4 linked regions of the Coturnix japonica genome follow. The protein of the gene in region 2 purifies or fractionates together with the protein of the main gene of each other region. This does not show direct contact. Links are inferred from orthologs where the notes say so. Each region holds a gene or a part of one and is shown on either strand. Other genes may lie near its edges.

Region 1 (4,139 bases), on a different chromosome or scaffold from region 2:
CTGAATTTGAAGACAGACTGCCTGCCTAGATGGTGACAGAAAGGGGCTCATAGAGGCAGAGGCAAGAAGACAGAAACTTGTACCTACAGCTGCATAACAGCAAGTTTCTACTGAGAAGTCTCTCATTCACAGCAGAGAAACACTTCCAGCAGGATCGAGCCCGTTGTTTACAAAGGCTACAAACCTCAAACAGCACAGGAAGGCGAGCACTGAGATCATAGTATGTCAGTGTTAGGCTGTATGGTCCTGGCTTGAGAGTTGTAAAATCCAACATTTCAAGAAAGCCCCAGAAAACCACACAGCATTTACATTTAATTTCAAGATAGAGATCTTAAAGACTTAAGAATCTCGGCAAAGACCTAAAATTAGAAAGCAAACAAAAAACCCACGTACTAAGCCAATCTCTTAATTACAGAGCTCAAGAAACAGCCAAGAGCTGCACACATCCCACTGAGGGGGGTCCCCGGCCCATTCTCCAACCTGCAATTAAAGCTCATAGGGTTTCTTTTTGGAGACCCTGAGCAGTAATGAGCAAATTCACACACCAACAAGGTATCAGAGATGAAGCATGCAACATTCTCCAAGTATACAAGTGATAAATAGAACTTGAGGCTCCAAACTGTGACAGCAATGCAAAAATCTGGTGCACTGTCATTCAAAATAAACACCAATCAAGAGTTCTGCTTTACAGCTTCCTAAGAACAAATATTAGCACAAGAATAACTGCCACCTGACCAGCATTCCAAATCACAACCAAACACAGCAATGCATATGGATAAAATTATCCCTAAAAATCACGTGTAAGAGTACTACAGTTATTCTGAAAGCCTCCACGTCCTATAAGGCACAGCTAAGACACGACAGCTTCAGTAAAGGTCACACTGCCATTCCATGGCAAAGGCAGGAACAGGACCCATGGTCCTTGGCTCTCAGCACAGCTTTATAAGATTCCGACTTCTTGCTAACCATATTTGGTTAATTTATCCCCATCTATTTCCCCCCGATTACAAAGTTTCTCATCTCCAGGAAAGAGCAAGAAAAAAAAAAAAAGCAAATCACACAACTGCGGTCAGGTCCCGTTAGGCTTGTGGGGGTGGGAAGGACAGAAGTTACACGGGTGTAAAAAGCAAATCTGAACCTCAGTGCCGTTGTAAAGGGCGCACAGCTGAACAGCGCAGTGACAAGCAGTCATTTCCGCTAACCCAGAGCCAAAAAGTCATCGGATACACAAGGAATCGCCAACATAAAAATAAATGCTTCCGGTTCAATCCCCAGCCTATTTTATTATCAGCTATAATTAAACAAAGTTCGGAAAGAAACTGTAGTTTCTCCTTTCTTTAAAGGAAGAGAGACAAATAGGGTTTCATCTGCACTTGAACCAGGTGACCCTGTGGCCTTAAGGAAGAGAATAAAGAGGTAATAACACAGCCATGAGCCACAGTGCTCCATTTGGACCTAAGGAGCTGACCTCACCTTCCCAAAACTACACATTGTCTACAGAACCAACAAGTCAGGCTTCACTTCCACAGCACCTAACACACCCGCACCACCACCCAGCCCACTACTTGTGAGCACCCAACCCCTGCAAGCAGGTGTCTTGGGAAGCACAGCCTTCCCAAGGCACGCTACAGCACCAACAGGGCACCACACAGTCCAACTAAGGTGTTAATCTGTCAAGCTCTGACACATCCACAGTTTCTGGAAGCGAGGGGTGACAGGTGTCATTCCAGAGGGGCTGTTGGAACCCATTGCATTCCCTCTGCTCTCATCTCCTGCACCAACGAAGCCCACCAGCCGCGTTGAGCTGAGTGAGCCCAATGCGCTGCTGCCATAAGGATTGCAGCCCCTCGCTGAGCAGGGACAGGCCACCCCAGCCCAGCCATGTCCTGGATGACCACAGCCACGCTTCAGGGCTGCGCAGACCACGAAGCTGGATCCATCTTCCGCCCTGCAAAGTTCTGTCTCCCATTGCACCGCTCCTGCCCCAGCTTTTCTCAGCGTCCCCCCGGTTCTCACCCCCCACCAACAGAACGGAACCTCACACGCTCCCGCTGGCGCAGCAGCTTTTCTTTTTAATCTTTTGCTCACTGTGGGGAGTGAAAGAAAGGAGGAGAGGTCGGGACGGGAATAAGTGATTAATCACGAAACGAGTCGTCACCGCCTGGAAAGGAAGGGAGGAAGAGATCGAAACCGAACGGTCCACGTCGCAAAGATGCAGAGAGGAAAAGTGAGACCCTCCCGCTGGGCACAGCACGGGAAAGGACGAGAGAAATAGGGGTGCGAGGAAAGTCGGTGCTCGAGTCTCTTCCCAAGGACGCACAAAACAGCCCGTACCTCTCAACGCGGCGCTCGAAGGAAAGCAAAGCGCCAGCAAAGGGCAGGGAACGGACGAGGAGAGAAGGAAAGAACCGAGAGACGGAGGGAGCGTGACGGGAAGGAGGCACGGCACAGTGCGAAGAGCAACCGAAGCGGAGGAAAAGCGAGGGGAGCGAGCGACGACAGCGGGAAAGTTGGCGGCAGAGGGGCGGACAGGGCGGCGGGCTGGGGACCGAGGAGAGCCCGAGGAGCGGCACGACCACACTTACCGCTCCGGCTGCGGGCACACCAACGGCTCCGGCGGCCGCCTGCTCCGCCTCACTCCCGTGCCCCGCGGGGGGCGCAGAGCCCGAGGGCTGGGCTGGGCTCCACTTGGCTCCGCTCCTCCCCCGGGCCCGCCGAGCGCGTAGGTGGGCGCGGGGCTGTCCCCCGCCTCCTTCCTGCCTCTGCCTCGCTCCCCTTCACCGGGAGAGACATGTAACGGAACTGGGACGCCAGCACGGCATTGTGGGAGCTCTTAAAGCCGCAGCCGCCCGCTGCCCCCCGCCGCCGACGCTCCCGGCCCGGGGGCGGGCAGGCACCGCAGCCTGGTAAGGAGAGAGGCGCTGCAGCCCCGCCGAACGGCACGGCCCGGCAGCACAGCACAGCACAGCACAGCACAGCACAGCACAGCACAGCACAGCACAGCACAGCACACCACAGCACACCACACCGCAGCACACCACACCACACCACAGCACAGCACAGCACAGCACCGGCAGCCTTCTGAATCCAGACCTACTCCTTCTCTCTCCCTCTTATTTTTCTTTAATCGCCGAGATTTTCCTATTGTTTCTGGATGGAACAGGAATGCCTTTGTTGCTTGTTTTTAACTGAAAGCCGGCTGGCAGTGTTTGCTATTGTTTCTGCCTTGTGCTTTTGATGATGGAAAATTCCCCGGAAAAATAATAATAATAATAAAAAAATAAAATAACAACCCAGAGCAGCGAAGAGTCTTATGCAGGAGGCTGTTTTTGGCACCAGGAACTTTTAATCAGTTGTGTGTTTGTACAGCTTGGAATCGGAAGATGACTGTTTCTAAGACAAAAAGGAAACAAAATGATTCACAAGCATTTTCTGCTGTCTGCATGCGCTTGTACAGGGCCTGGCGGTGTCTCCCCAGCAGCAGTACTGCCCAACTTTGGCCTTTGCCCTATCACCCCTATGGCACATCAGGCTGATGGTTTGCAATGGAATCTCTTGGAACTCTCAGCTGTTTTGACTACCACTATCTTAGTGATGGTTGTCCACACGTGGATCTTGGGTTATGATCACAACTTTATACAGCTGAGCATATTTGTTGTAAGTGTGCCTGGCAAGACAAAAAGTTCCTGCTGAGAAAGTTTTCGGGGCACAGAAGGATGTAACTTATATGCCTGACGTGCCTCTGAGCCTTCTTCTGCTATCTTAGACAGCAGGAGCTGCCAGCTAGTTATTGTAGAAGGCCATAGACACATGTGATGAGTTATAAGTAAGAAGAAATAGCAGAAATAAGGTGAATCAGTCCAGGCACTGGTGGTCTGCATGGTCAGCTGTGTACACCTTGTAACATAGAATGTCCCAAGTGTGAAGGGACCCACAAAGGTCACTGAGTCCAACTCTTCACTTGACACAGGACCATGCAAACATTAAACCCTGTGGCTGAAAGTGGTGTCCAAACACACCTTGAACTCCAGCACTTGTGGCCGTGCCCACTGCCTTGTGCAGCCCATTCCATGCCCACCGCCCTGTGGTGCAGACCCTGTCCCTCACCCCCAGCTGCCCCTCCCCTGGCACAGCTCCAC
Region 2 (3,564 bases):
AAGACAGTAAGTTAATTTAGAAGAGCCGGCCCCTCTGCCACACATACTACCTATGTTTTATGGCTTTCTTATTTGGGGTAATGACATGTTACGAATTCCTCTATAAAATATATTGCAGCGCAGAGTCTGGAAAAGAAAAGCACTCTCAGCACAGAAACATTTGGAGAAGAAAGGGAAAACATATCAAGAAAGACAAATGATTCCAACCTCAAGGGTATCAGCAAATTGACCACCAACTTGTTTGCTTGAATTTTATAATACAAGAAAGCCACATTTTAATTTCAAACAATTATGAAATAATTAAATACAATTAAAAGAGAATTATGCCATGTCATTATGGCAGCAGCGAGCCATTAGGCCAGTACCAGATTGTTAAATAAACTTCCACGTATTCAAAGGCACACAGACTTTTTCCAGCTGCAGACATCACTTGGCAAATTCTCTGGAATTTACAAAAAATTTACACGAAGTTGGGAAGACTGCAGTTGTTTTTTGTTTTGTTTTGTTTTGTTTTGTTTTGTTTTGTTTTACAGATACACACATGTTTCTAGAAAGACAGACCTCAGGATTTAGCATTCTGAGCTGATCCCATGCCCCATATGTCTGGATTAGCTATTAAGCTCTCTTGGCCACCATAAGAAGGGGAAGACCAAAAGGGTCTTCAACAATGTTCACTGAACTGAATTCTGTTCAATGAACTTACTACAGCTGCTTTACTACGCATCTCTTTCTATTACAATTGCAGTGACTTGCAGTGTAACTTTCGGTATTACTTTGTAGATGCTTTACTGTAATACATGGAAGCTATTTGGCCCCACAGCTTCAACAGAACCTGCAGTTCCATGGATATATCTTGGTCATACTTCCTGAAGGCCTACCTTAGCAGGTAAGATTTAAAAACAATCTTGCTCTTGATCTCCTATGACAGTGAGATGGCTCCTGGTCCATCAGTGCTAGACTTCATCCATACAAAGATGAGGATGAAGACTCACCACACAGCATTTCACTTATAGACTGAATTTTTTTCTGGTTTCCATAACTTCCAGGCAAAGAATACAAAGACTACCAAATATTTTCTTTCTGCTTTCTATGTGTTGCATCAATAAACTCAAAACATCTTATGTGAGCCTATATTCACATAGAATACACTTTTTCAAAACAGTTTTGCTGTAATTTTTGTGAAACAAAGTTAAATCATCTGTAACTTCTGGGTAAGCCCTGTATATCTCATACCTCAAAACAAGTTATCTCCATCAGTTGGCTCACACCATATAAGGGTTTTTAGGAAAATGGGACCATACATTCCAGAAGACCATACACACACAGTCTGGGAGGATGACCAGGACCATTACACTTCTTCTCATTCCTGTTCTCTTGCTGGTCAAAAACAGAATGACAGCCAGCAGCACCAGACCAGCTTTTAGCCTCATTGCTTCATGAAATTGCTAGGTATGGTAAAAGCGAAGCAGAATTAATTCTGCCTGTAACTATATTTGAGAAAAGTGACTGGCAGAATGACCGCCCTTTCAGTCTCAGAACACTTTTAGTAACAGATTAAAAGAAAAACAACCAAAGCGCGTTCAAAAATATAAAAGGAGTAAGCTTGCAATGGAATATTACGGATTGGCACTTCAGAAACTAACATTTTAAAACTAGCAGAGAGTGGAAAGTTTTTTTCAAGGCTTTTCTGCAAGTATTCAAGCTAAATATTTTACCATTTCAGCTTTCCAAGCGTCTTCTCCATTCATAAACTTTTAACTAGCTACAGGTCGATTAAAAAAAATTCTGCGGGTGTGTGTGACAAGTTGAAACTAATACAACATGAAGGTTAAAAATTCCATAATTTTAATACAACCTCTGATTGAGATAATTTACCATTCACACTATTTTTATTCAATATAAGTTGTCATTTTCCCGGCCCATTCTTACACAGTTCAATAATGATAAGGTTAGCTTTGAAGTGATTCTTTTATGTTAATGACATTCTCCACATGTTGGGTCATACTTCGGGTTAAAGAACTGAAAATGTAAATGAATGCCCATTAGGGTGGGTAATAGCTGATCATTAACTTTATATTTTATTAGATCTGCCAGCCTTACTCATTCTAATTAAAGGACAGTGATTTCTTTTTTTTCCCCAGACACTACAAATGTACCCTTTCAAAGTTAGATGCACATATTTTTGTAACATTAATTCAGTGGGGTTTTTTTAGTTTCTGTGCAATTTTTTTTTTCTAATTTACATCAGTAAATTAATTAGCTGCCTTACAGAAAATTTTCATAATAATTTAAGTAAACACACTCCTAATAATCTTATTTCCTTATTTTAGGAAGGAAGGAAGCTGCAGAGTGTTGCAATCTGCTTAATGCATATGAAGGGCAAAAGCCTGAAACAAATCCAGGAAGAGATACTAGTTCTATTCTTTTAAAATCTTAAAATTATCTTCTATCACTTCTAATTACCTTCTAAAGGAATTGACTGATACTGCTAACATTCATTATGTACAACAATAGCCTACTTACAAGTTTCCATGCCTTCGTCATCATCATCTGCTACAGGTTTATCATAAGATTTGTCTATGGCAGCTCTGAAGCTTTCATTGCAGCCTCGTCCTCGGATAATTCGTGGGCGGGGGCGGTGGAAAGGAATATCACCATTGAGAGTCACCTCAGCAACGGCTGTCTGCAGACTTTCTAATGAGCTGGATTTCTTCAGACCTAATGAAGGCCCTACATCTCTGGTCGGGGAACCTTAGTGATTTAGGGAAGAAAAAAAAAGTAATTAGAATTAGTGTAGAGAACTGCATGCTTGATTATGCATATCCATCGTGAAAGTCTTTGGGGACACACTTAACATTATTCACATCATCTCTCAATAATCTGCATGGAATTCTCAGCAGATTTGTTGGTCTCAGAAGTGAATGAGTATGTCAAGTTACAGTCAATGAAACCGACAACGTTAGCAAGGTCTGGCTTTTCAAATCAGTGAAAAGATACCAACACCCATCGCTATTATTTCAACAATCTGAATGATAAAAGTAAGCTCAGGGCTTTAAACGCATCTCAAAAAAACAGCAGAGATACAAATCTTACAGTATCAAACAAACTTAATAAGTTTTTCTTTAGAGCAGAAAATTTCATTTCTAATAGCAACTGATAAACAGAGAGCATATTCTGGTAATGAATCCTATCGTGTTTAGAGTGACCTTCTGGTAAAGTACTACGACTTCTAGCTTCAAGGAATATGCTTAGTTTAAACTGACTTTTAAAGGCTTGCATCAAAATGCTAACACTTCCATAACTAAATATTTCTGAGAAATATCACTTGGTTTGGTGGGATTTTGTGAATTTGTTTATAAAAATCTATGGCAAAGCCCCAGTTAATCCAGCAGTACCACAGCACTACACTTCTAGGCTCTGTTTTTGGATACACAGTTTTAGTGAAAATCAGCTGACAGTTGCACAATTCGATGTCATAGTTAAAACTGGGAGAGATCTATCAGAAAAAAGAATTCACTGAACTTTGAATCATATTCTTAAAAGGTTCAGAATACTCTTGGCTAG
Region 3 (4,155 bases), on a different chromosome or scaffold from region 2:
TGATTAAAACAGCTCTAGAGAATAGAGGCCTTAGAATTCTCACATACCAAGGCACGAAAATAAGGAGACAAGGACCCTATTGTTAGCACATTAACACCGCCCAGACTCAAACAGGCACAGCAGAACAGCCTACACACTATTAACACCTCATCTTCAAAGTTCTCAAATAATGGAATTCTCTGGGGGCACTCTAGAAATATTCCTATTTCAGTCACTTTAAGTCAGAAGAGATGACTCACACAAAGCAAACAACAGCCTGCAGGAGGAGCTTCCTCCACGTCAGAGGCAGCTGAAGTGTGATGTCAGTGATGGAACGTGACCGAGTTCCTGCTGAACCCTGCTGCAGCTATTTCAAGTATGAGCGCTATGGAAACTCTCCAAGCATTGTATCAATCTGCAGTTGTTTGGTTTTGAAAGACAACATAGTTTGAACGGTTAAGTAACACTGGAATTTAAAAGAACGCCACCAACAATCTTACTCTCAACTTGAAGCAAACATGGTGTGATTGCAGCAAGGATATGAACGGTCACATTTCCAAGCATGTGAAGTTAATTTTTCCCCCCACCATTTCCACAGACGTTATGCTCTAACAAAACTTGCCACATGCTCAGTACTACGAAGCTGATAAAGTAGAAAAGCTAAACTAATTCCCTGTCCATATTAATCTCATGTAATAATTGTCTATATTAATCTCATGCAATGTTTCCATTTGATATCAAACGTTGCACCACATTCCACTCTGCACTAACAAAAATTTGCAACTTTAATGAAGCACAGAAACGTAAAATCAGAAGAATCAGCTGGAAAAACACAGCACAAGCTATGGCAATGTACCAGGAATTCACCTGAGATACCCACGTGAGTAAGACTCGCTTATGAGAAGCATCTTTATGTCCTGTCTAATGCTGCATGCCGCTGCTACACTACCAGTCTTAAGCAATAATAACAGAACATAAGACAGATACATTTGCTGGAGCTTATCGGTATATTAGATTTCATTCCATACAAAACAAAGAATCGGAAAACACTATTCCCACTCACAATGGGCTTTGCAGGCATGGGTTTGTCAGTCGGTGCATGATTACTGAGTTGGACTACCTGAACACAGCGTTGGACACTGATGGCAAGCCTTCAAATCTTACAGCACTGCACAGGAATGCTCCCCTCCACCTCCCACACAGCTTTTCTTTCTTTTTTGGAGCTTCTTCACGGAAGGAAGATGACTCCTCTGATACATTAAATCTAGATACTTGAAAGTAATGTATTAGCAACAAGTAGTTCAGAGAACGCCTCGATACATTCTTCATAGTACACTAAGAGACAGCCCCAACTCATTAGACCTGCTCTGCAGAATGCCAAAGGAGGCACCACGCAGCTGATCCCTAGACATACTTGTAATCAGGCAATGCACACTACAGGGGAGGCTTGAGCTGTGGCAAGAAGTATTGCTTATAAACACGTTATTCTGATTGCTTTCAATCCTACAAGCACATAGATTAAAACAACAAACAACACGCTCCACTGACACAGTCACAGCTGTGCTTAACCAGCATTTGGGATCATGGCAGCCAAGTATTCCTTGGCATTGTGACTTCACCCATATCACAGTTAAGTTAAAAACGAGCAGTAATTATCATCCATGCTAGTCCCAAAAGCGCAGCACTGCTTTTCATGTACAAGCACTTGTCACACTAGTGTTTAAAAAACAGACAAGAAAAAGATCCCCAGCTCCCGGCTGCCTCTCCTACACTGCAAAGGGATGCTTGGATTGCAGGAAGGAGCAGAGTACGAACAGCAAACAGACCCGAGCGGCTTAGAAATAAAGAGGCACAAAAGGACTTTTTTTCTTTTAAACCAATGAAAGAAAACATCCCCACAGGGCCGTGTAGTTTGGTGTGATGATGGAAAGGATTTCACAACAACGCATTTCTTTAGCAGCTTCACACCAGTTAAGATTTCACATCTAACGCATATTAAGATTTACAGTTGTAAATGTAATTAACTGCAAAAGGACAAAGTACCAAAATATGATCACGGTAAGCCAAAAAAAACCCCAAGATCTGTTTCAGAACACTGAACATCTGCCAGCAAAACTACGGGAACCAGGAGAAAAAACCAACGGCAATGGATGCAGAAATGATGCAGAAATGCCAATAGACACATGGAGCCTGCGGAGATCTGACAGCAGGGCTGCTGGAGGAGCCACAGCGTGTACATACATACACATACATACACACATACACATACAGCCTCGTGAGAGCTCGGCCGGCACTAAGTTCTCATGCAGACTCTGCCCGCAGAGCAGCCCGGTGTGATGGGCAGCGATCACGGCCCGGCGTCCGTCACAACCCCCGACCCGACCCTGGAACGCCTTTAGCCTCGATCCCCCCCGAGCTCCCACCCCCGCCCCGCTCCGTCCCGCCGCTCGCTGCGCACACCGGGCCCGGTTCCTCCGTCCCGTCGCTCGCTCAGTCCCGCCGCGCGGTTCCCGCCCCAGGCCGCGCTGCCGCAGGTGAGTGACTCAGTGACTCAGTGAGTCCGTGATTCAGCCCCGACCCGCCGGGCTCCCCGCGGTTCCGGCCGGGCCGCCCGCTCCCCGCTCGCTTACCTTGCTCTTCACCTCCATGGTGCCGAGGCCCCGGCTGCCCGCAGGCCCGCGGTGAGGCCGACTCATTCCGCCGGCTGCTCGGCGTCTGCTCTTTTCTCTCGGCCCCGGGCGCCCACGGGTGGCAGAGCGGGACGCTCACGGCCCGGATCCCCCCGGATCCCCCCGCCCCTCACGCCTCCAGCCGCTCCTGGCACCGCGGCGCCGCCCTGACACAGCGGCACCGGGCGGGGCCGGCGGCTCCTGGCACCTGCCGCCCTCACACCGCGGGACGGGGCAGCGCCGCACCGCGCATGCGCACACGGGCGGGGCCGCGCACCTGCCGCTCGCGAGCATGCGCACTGAGCCGTGCGCGCTGAGCGCGGGACGGCGGCACCGAGCACCTGCCGGGTTGAGGCGGAGCTACAAGATGGAGGGGGAGGAACCGCACGGAGATGAGGAAGTACGGAGTGATTCTGTGTAGGGGCGGGGGTGGGACGAGCCGCGGGACCTTTGCTCGGCAGCGGGCGGGTCTGGTGTGCAAACATGGGGCTGTGCGAGGGAACGCGGCCCGGCAGCACGATGCGCTGATCTGTGAGGGAGGAGTGGGACAGCGCCGGGAAAGGGAAGGGAAGGAAAGGCCGCGAGTGTGCGGGGTGTGAGAGAAACATGACTGGATCCGAATGTGTGAGACTGTACGGAGCGGGATGTGTGTGAGACATTGAAACATGACTGACTGCATCCTGCTGGGTGTGACTGCCCCAGCCCAGGCCGTGCTCCCTCCCTGTCCCTCTCATGCTCTTTAGGCCTGTCCTGGCCGTGCAGTTGTTGGACTTTTCTGTTTTAAGCCCCGTCCGTAACCTGGTGACACGCCTGAAGGGTTTTCTGTGACGTCGTTTGTGTGTGTTACACTGCGATAGAACAACCATTATTGTGTAACCGTCCACATAGTGACCTTGGGGAGGTACCGGCAGACCTTAACATGGGGACCGTGTCATGCCTAAAATCTGAAGAAAAAGGATTTTTCATTTACAGAGTTTAGTATGTAGAGGGAGGAAGAAAGCGTGTGAGTCGGCTTATTGAAGTCAAGAGCCCCTTGCAAACCTCTGCCAGGTTTTTAAAGCAGTCAGTTGCCGTTTTCCTTGGAAGAACTTCCTGGAGCTGATCTGTGCCTGCAGCCGATTTTACTGTGGAACATTTCTGGAGTCTCACCTCAGATAAGGATTTTTTTCTATCTTGCATTCCTAGGATGGCTGGAGTTCCACACTGTGGGTGTGGTAACGTGCTTCAGGACTCAGGGCAAATTCATTTCAAGTCTCTGGAACTGACCTAATAAAGAGTATTAATCACTGGCATGCTCTCATCACTGGGAGCTGACGTATGAGGAAGGAATGCAATAAACAGCTTGATTTCAGATCAAGATACAGTGAGAGGCCGGGAGCAGCACAAGTTTGAAGAGCTATTTTAGTCACAGAGTCTACAAACCTGTGACTTGATCATGACTATTCATGGCACAACCAGTTTCAGCTTCTGTGAAGTTGAAAGACAGGTTGGGTTTTGTAATCCCTGG
Region 4 (3,564 bases), on a different chromosome or scaffold from region 2:
TTATTGGTTCCTGCAAATTTGCACAACATTTGTTTAACAGATTGTGAAAAGCATTTGAGAGACAATAAAGAATCTCTGAGAAATATAATCTGTTTTAGATGAATCCACATAACTACTGCTCTAGTCCATACAGTATAAAAAGAATCACCATAGACCTTATTTTTCCTGCTTTCCAGAAGTTATGGCAAGTTGCTAGAAGCTATTGAAGAAAACTTCATACAGCAAGGAGAAGGTAGTAGATTAGATGCAAAATGAGACAGAAAATTGCACATACTTCAGCAGCTTTATTATCCAAATAAATTTATGAAATAAAGACTTCCAGCTGTCCATTTTTAAACATTAAACTGCAAGTGGTATTTACATATTGCTTTTTGGGGACTTGAGAACTAAAGATGATTGCATCACTTAGGAGGAGGTCAGAACTATTGTGCCTTGCCTTCCTTTTCTATCAAACAAAATAGTCTAATAATCTAACAGATGTTTAGAGAATTTACTTGTATGTCACTCTGAATATGTGAAATGTAATATATGTACACGTTCATATAAACACTATGTAACTACATGTCATATTTACCTTGCTTTTCACCATCTGACACAGAAATAGACAATCTATACAAGAATTAAGACCTTCTTGTTACTGAAATGCTATTTTGCTAAGCATCTCTTCTATTTTCTTGTCATGTAATGCAGTAGCCATAAAGAATGACAGCCTTTTTAAGCTTTATCTACTGTGATTGTTTGCTGAGCATAGTCTGAAAGCCATTTAGTATGAAACAAGCTCCTTTATTTCATTTATTGTTGCTTTTTAAGACAACATTTCAGATAAACCGTACTTACTGGTTGTAGTGTATGACGACCACAGTCAGTATTGACTAGTTTGTGACACTTCTTGTGAACAAGGAGTTTGCAGTTGATGCATTTATACCCCTGGCGACCCAGGCCCCATATTCGGTCTGAGCAGATGGCACAGTGAGCTCTCTAGAAGAATAAATCAATAAAACTGATTAAAAGCAAAGCTAAATAACAGAAACTATTCAGCCACGTTCCCATTACTGAAGAACAGAGGATAGGAGATCAGAAAAACCCCTACTCAAGTTGCTACTGTACCTGAAAAGCCTATGACAGAACTTTAAGATAGAACAAGCAGATACAACACAGAAAAGCCCAAGAATTACAAATGAACAATAAGCAGCGACTGCTTATCAGAAAGAGCACATTTACATGGGAAGGTGCAGGCACAGTCAGCCTCTTCTGCTGCACGTGGACCCAGAGAGATGGGTGTCAACTGCAGGTCAAAAGCAGTGCAGATGAATAAGCAGGCTCCTGTGACCAAGCTAGTTTGCTAGGTCTCATTATCTTTATGTAGGGGAGTCCTTAGATTTGAAGAGAGAACAGCAGGAAAGCAAAAGCTTCAACATAGATAAACCACCAGCTAAGAGGAAATGGGAAGATCACCACCCACTGAAGGACACTCATAACTCAAAAGAACCATGAATGCAGGGCACCAACAAAAGCAAGTGGGATGGTGCCTTCAGCCTTTGACCGGGAAGAGGTCAATGAATATTTCCTAGAGCATTGCTTATGTAAAAAATATTAAATGAATAATGCTGAAGACGAAGTTTAGTGGAGATCATTTTGAGAGTTACTTAAGCACGTGATTCACAGCTTAGAGAAAAAGGAAAGAATACTGAAGCTGTCAAGGAACCTTGCTTATTCAATTCTTATTTTATCTAATTTTTCAGATACAAGCCGCAGATAGCTCTCTTGATTCTCAATCGTCTTTGGCTATTGCTTATTGAAAGTATTAAAACTGGCCAGTTATTTTCAATTGTTTCTACGCCATCATAAGCAGATGCTAGAGAAACATCTCAGGTTTTGTTTAAGTCGTGAAGGAAAACTGTGCATCATAAGCAACTCGACGTATGCTTAAACAACTGCAAATGCACTTTCAGTTCAATCATCTAATGCCAGTGTTAAAGTCTGCCCTCCCCGGAGATTTTAAGGGAGCACCAGAACACTTCCGTGACAGCATAGTTACAGAGTACACTGTAAAGTGAATTGCAACTATTTATGTTTTTATGAGCCTAATTTTATATGGATAAAGTTTCCTGAAACTACAGTTACCAGCATCTAAGAACTACAGGCAGTCAACAGCAATTAGAATAAATCTACCTTTTTATTTTTTTCAAGGCAGTAACATTAAAATTATAAAAGTAAGACAACCCTGGAACATGGTTTTAAGTACCCAACAAGAGTCTCACCCTGTTAAATCGTTTGGCTTGGAAAGTGTGACCATTTGCACAATAGAGCTTTCGCCACCGGCGGGCGCCACGGCGATAAATGGATTCTAAGAGGAAAAACATACAATTATATCCATAAAAGATATAAATACAGAACTACAGTACTTTCTTACTGGTGCTTCTGTGTACAGTGATTTGCAGAGTAAAGTTTCATTCCTGCAGCCTTATAGAAACACAAAGTATTTTCTTCATTTTTCCAATTTTGGAGAAAACATCAAGCAAAATACTCTGACCATCTGAAAGTTAATTCTGCCTTTCCAAAGTTAAAAGGCGGAGTGAGTCAAAAGGAGGAAAACTGTCCAAACAACACAAGCACTTGTTTGCAAAACATGCACATACCTTACTTAATTCAAGGAGGAGCTGTGGGAGGGAGGGAAGAAGGTCCATTTCAGGAGCATGTCCTGTTATGGCTGCATGCACAAACCCTCCAGTATCTTAGGTCCACAGCTGCCACCATTTTCTGACTGTTTGTTTGTCTCATTACAGGCATTTCAGGACCCAAAACTGAAAACTAGAATATGCAAAACTACCTCAAGTTGCAAAGCTATTTCAGATGTAGCCTAGAACCTTTCTTTCTCCCCTTCAGAAAGGCAGCATTAATCCTACTGCCATAGTTAACATTTAAGCATGCACACTGACATTTGTCAAGAACTTGGATATCAAGCTGACAGACGTGTGCATGCATAGCATACCCATCATCTTTTATAAGATGAATAACAACAGCATAGAAGCCTACATTAAACATATGGAAAATCACCTCTCATGGTTAGTACATTTACCAGCATGACAAAGGTGTTCACAAAATATTCCTGATTTTACCCAAAGGTTGGTCTGAAATTGATTATTTGACACCTCATTACAAGTGGTTACAAGTCTTTGTTCACATCAGTCAGCGAGCAATCTGGCAACTACTAGAGACAGGAACAGAATGGAAAACTGCCATGGAAGAGGCAAAAGCAAGGAAAGCAGAGACACGTGGAGAGTTAACAGAAATACAAAAATGCTTTATTAACAATGACTCAGAAATGACAAACAACATTCCTTTTTAATATTTAAGCTGTAGAGATTCGTGTTATTAATAGTCATAAGCACAGGAAATCAAACAATAGAGTATCAACTTTTTCTAGAATACACATTACTTATTTTAAGTATGCCCAAATGAAGATGCCTACTTACTGTCTTCTCCTGGGCAAGGCATGCCAGGCCGTTCCGGTACACAAGGGAACACTGCAAGAAAAATATCAGCTTCTTATTAATCTGTTTC

What was found.
Region 1: the proteins of PARD3 (region 2) and RASSF8 purify together in Homo sapiens (affinity purification with mass spectrometry; 4 studies listed by BioGRID and IntAct, counting the BioPlex papers as one, with this or other methods). This does not show direct contact. The link is inferred for Coturnix japonica from reciprocal best matches to the Homo sapiens genes PARD3 and RASSF8.
Region 3: the proteins of PARD3 (region 2) and PARD6B purify together in Homo sapiens (affinity purification with mass spectrometry; 5 studies listed by BioGRID and IntAct, counting the BioPlex papers as one, with this or other methods). This does not show direct contact. The link is inferred for Coturnix japonica from reciprocal best matches to the Homo sapiens genes PARD3 and PARD6B.
Region 4: the proteins of PARD3 (region 2) and PRKCI purify together in Homo sapiens (affinity purification with western blotting; 5 studies listed by BioGRID and IntAct, with this or other methods). This does not show direct contact. The link is inferred for Coturnix japonica from reciprocal best matches to the Homo sapiens genes PARD3 and PRKCI.

The regions. Positions count from the first base shown.
Region 1 is NC_029516.1:62,026,761-62,030,899, reverse strand, and holds the start of RASSF8 (ras association domain-containing protein 8), read right to left. Parts: upstream 2,835-4,139; 5' UTR 2,586-2,834; intron 1-2,585.
Region 2 is NC_029517.1:12,118,072-12,121,635, reverse strand, and holds part of PARD3 (partitioning defective 3 homolog), read right to left. Parts: intron 2,752-3,564; coding exon 2,524-2,751; intron 1-2,523. UniProt on the Homo sapiens protein: Adapter protein involved in asymmetrical cell division and cell polarization processes. Seems to play a central role in the formation of epithelial tight junctions. Targets the phosphatase PTEN to cell junctions.
Region 3 is NC_029535.1:12,092,233-12,096,387, forward strand, and holds the start of PARD6B (partitioning defective 6 homolog beta), read right to left. Parts: upstream 2,830-4,155; 5' UTR 2,676-2,829; coding exon 2,610-2,675; intron 2,514-2,609; exon of another isoform or gene 2,453-2,513; intron 1-2,452. UniProt on the Homo sapiens protein: Adapter protein involved in asymmetrical cell division and cell polarization processes. Probably involved in formation of epithelial tight junctions.
Region 4 is NC_029524.1:17,533,965-17,537,528, forward strand, and holds part of PRKCI (protein kinase C iota type), read right to left. Parts: intron 3,528-3,564; coding exon 3,477-3,527; intron 2,348-3,476; coding exon 2,262-2,347; intron 979-2,261; coding exon 838-978; intron 11-837; coding exon 1-10.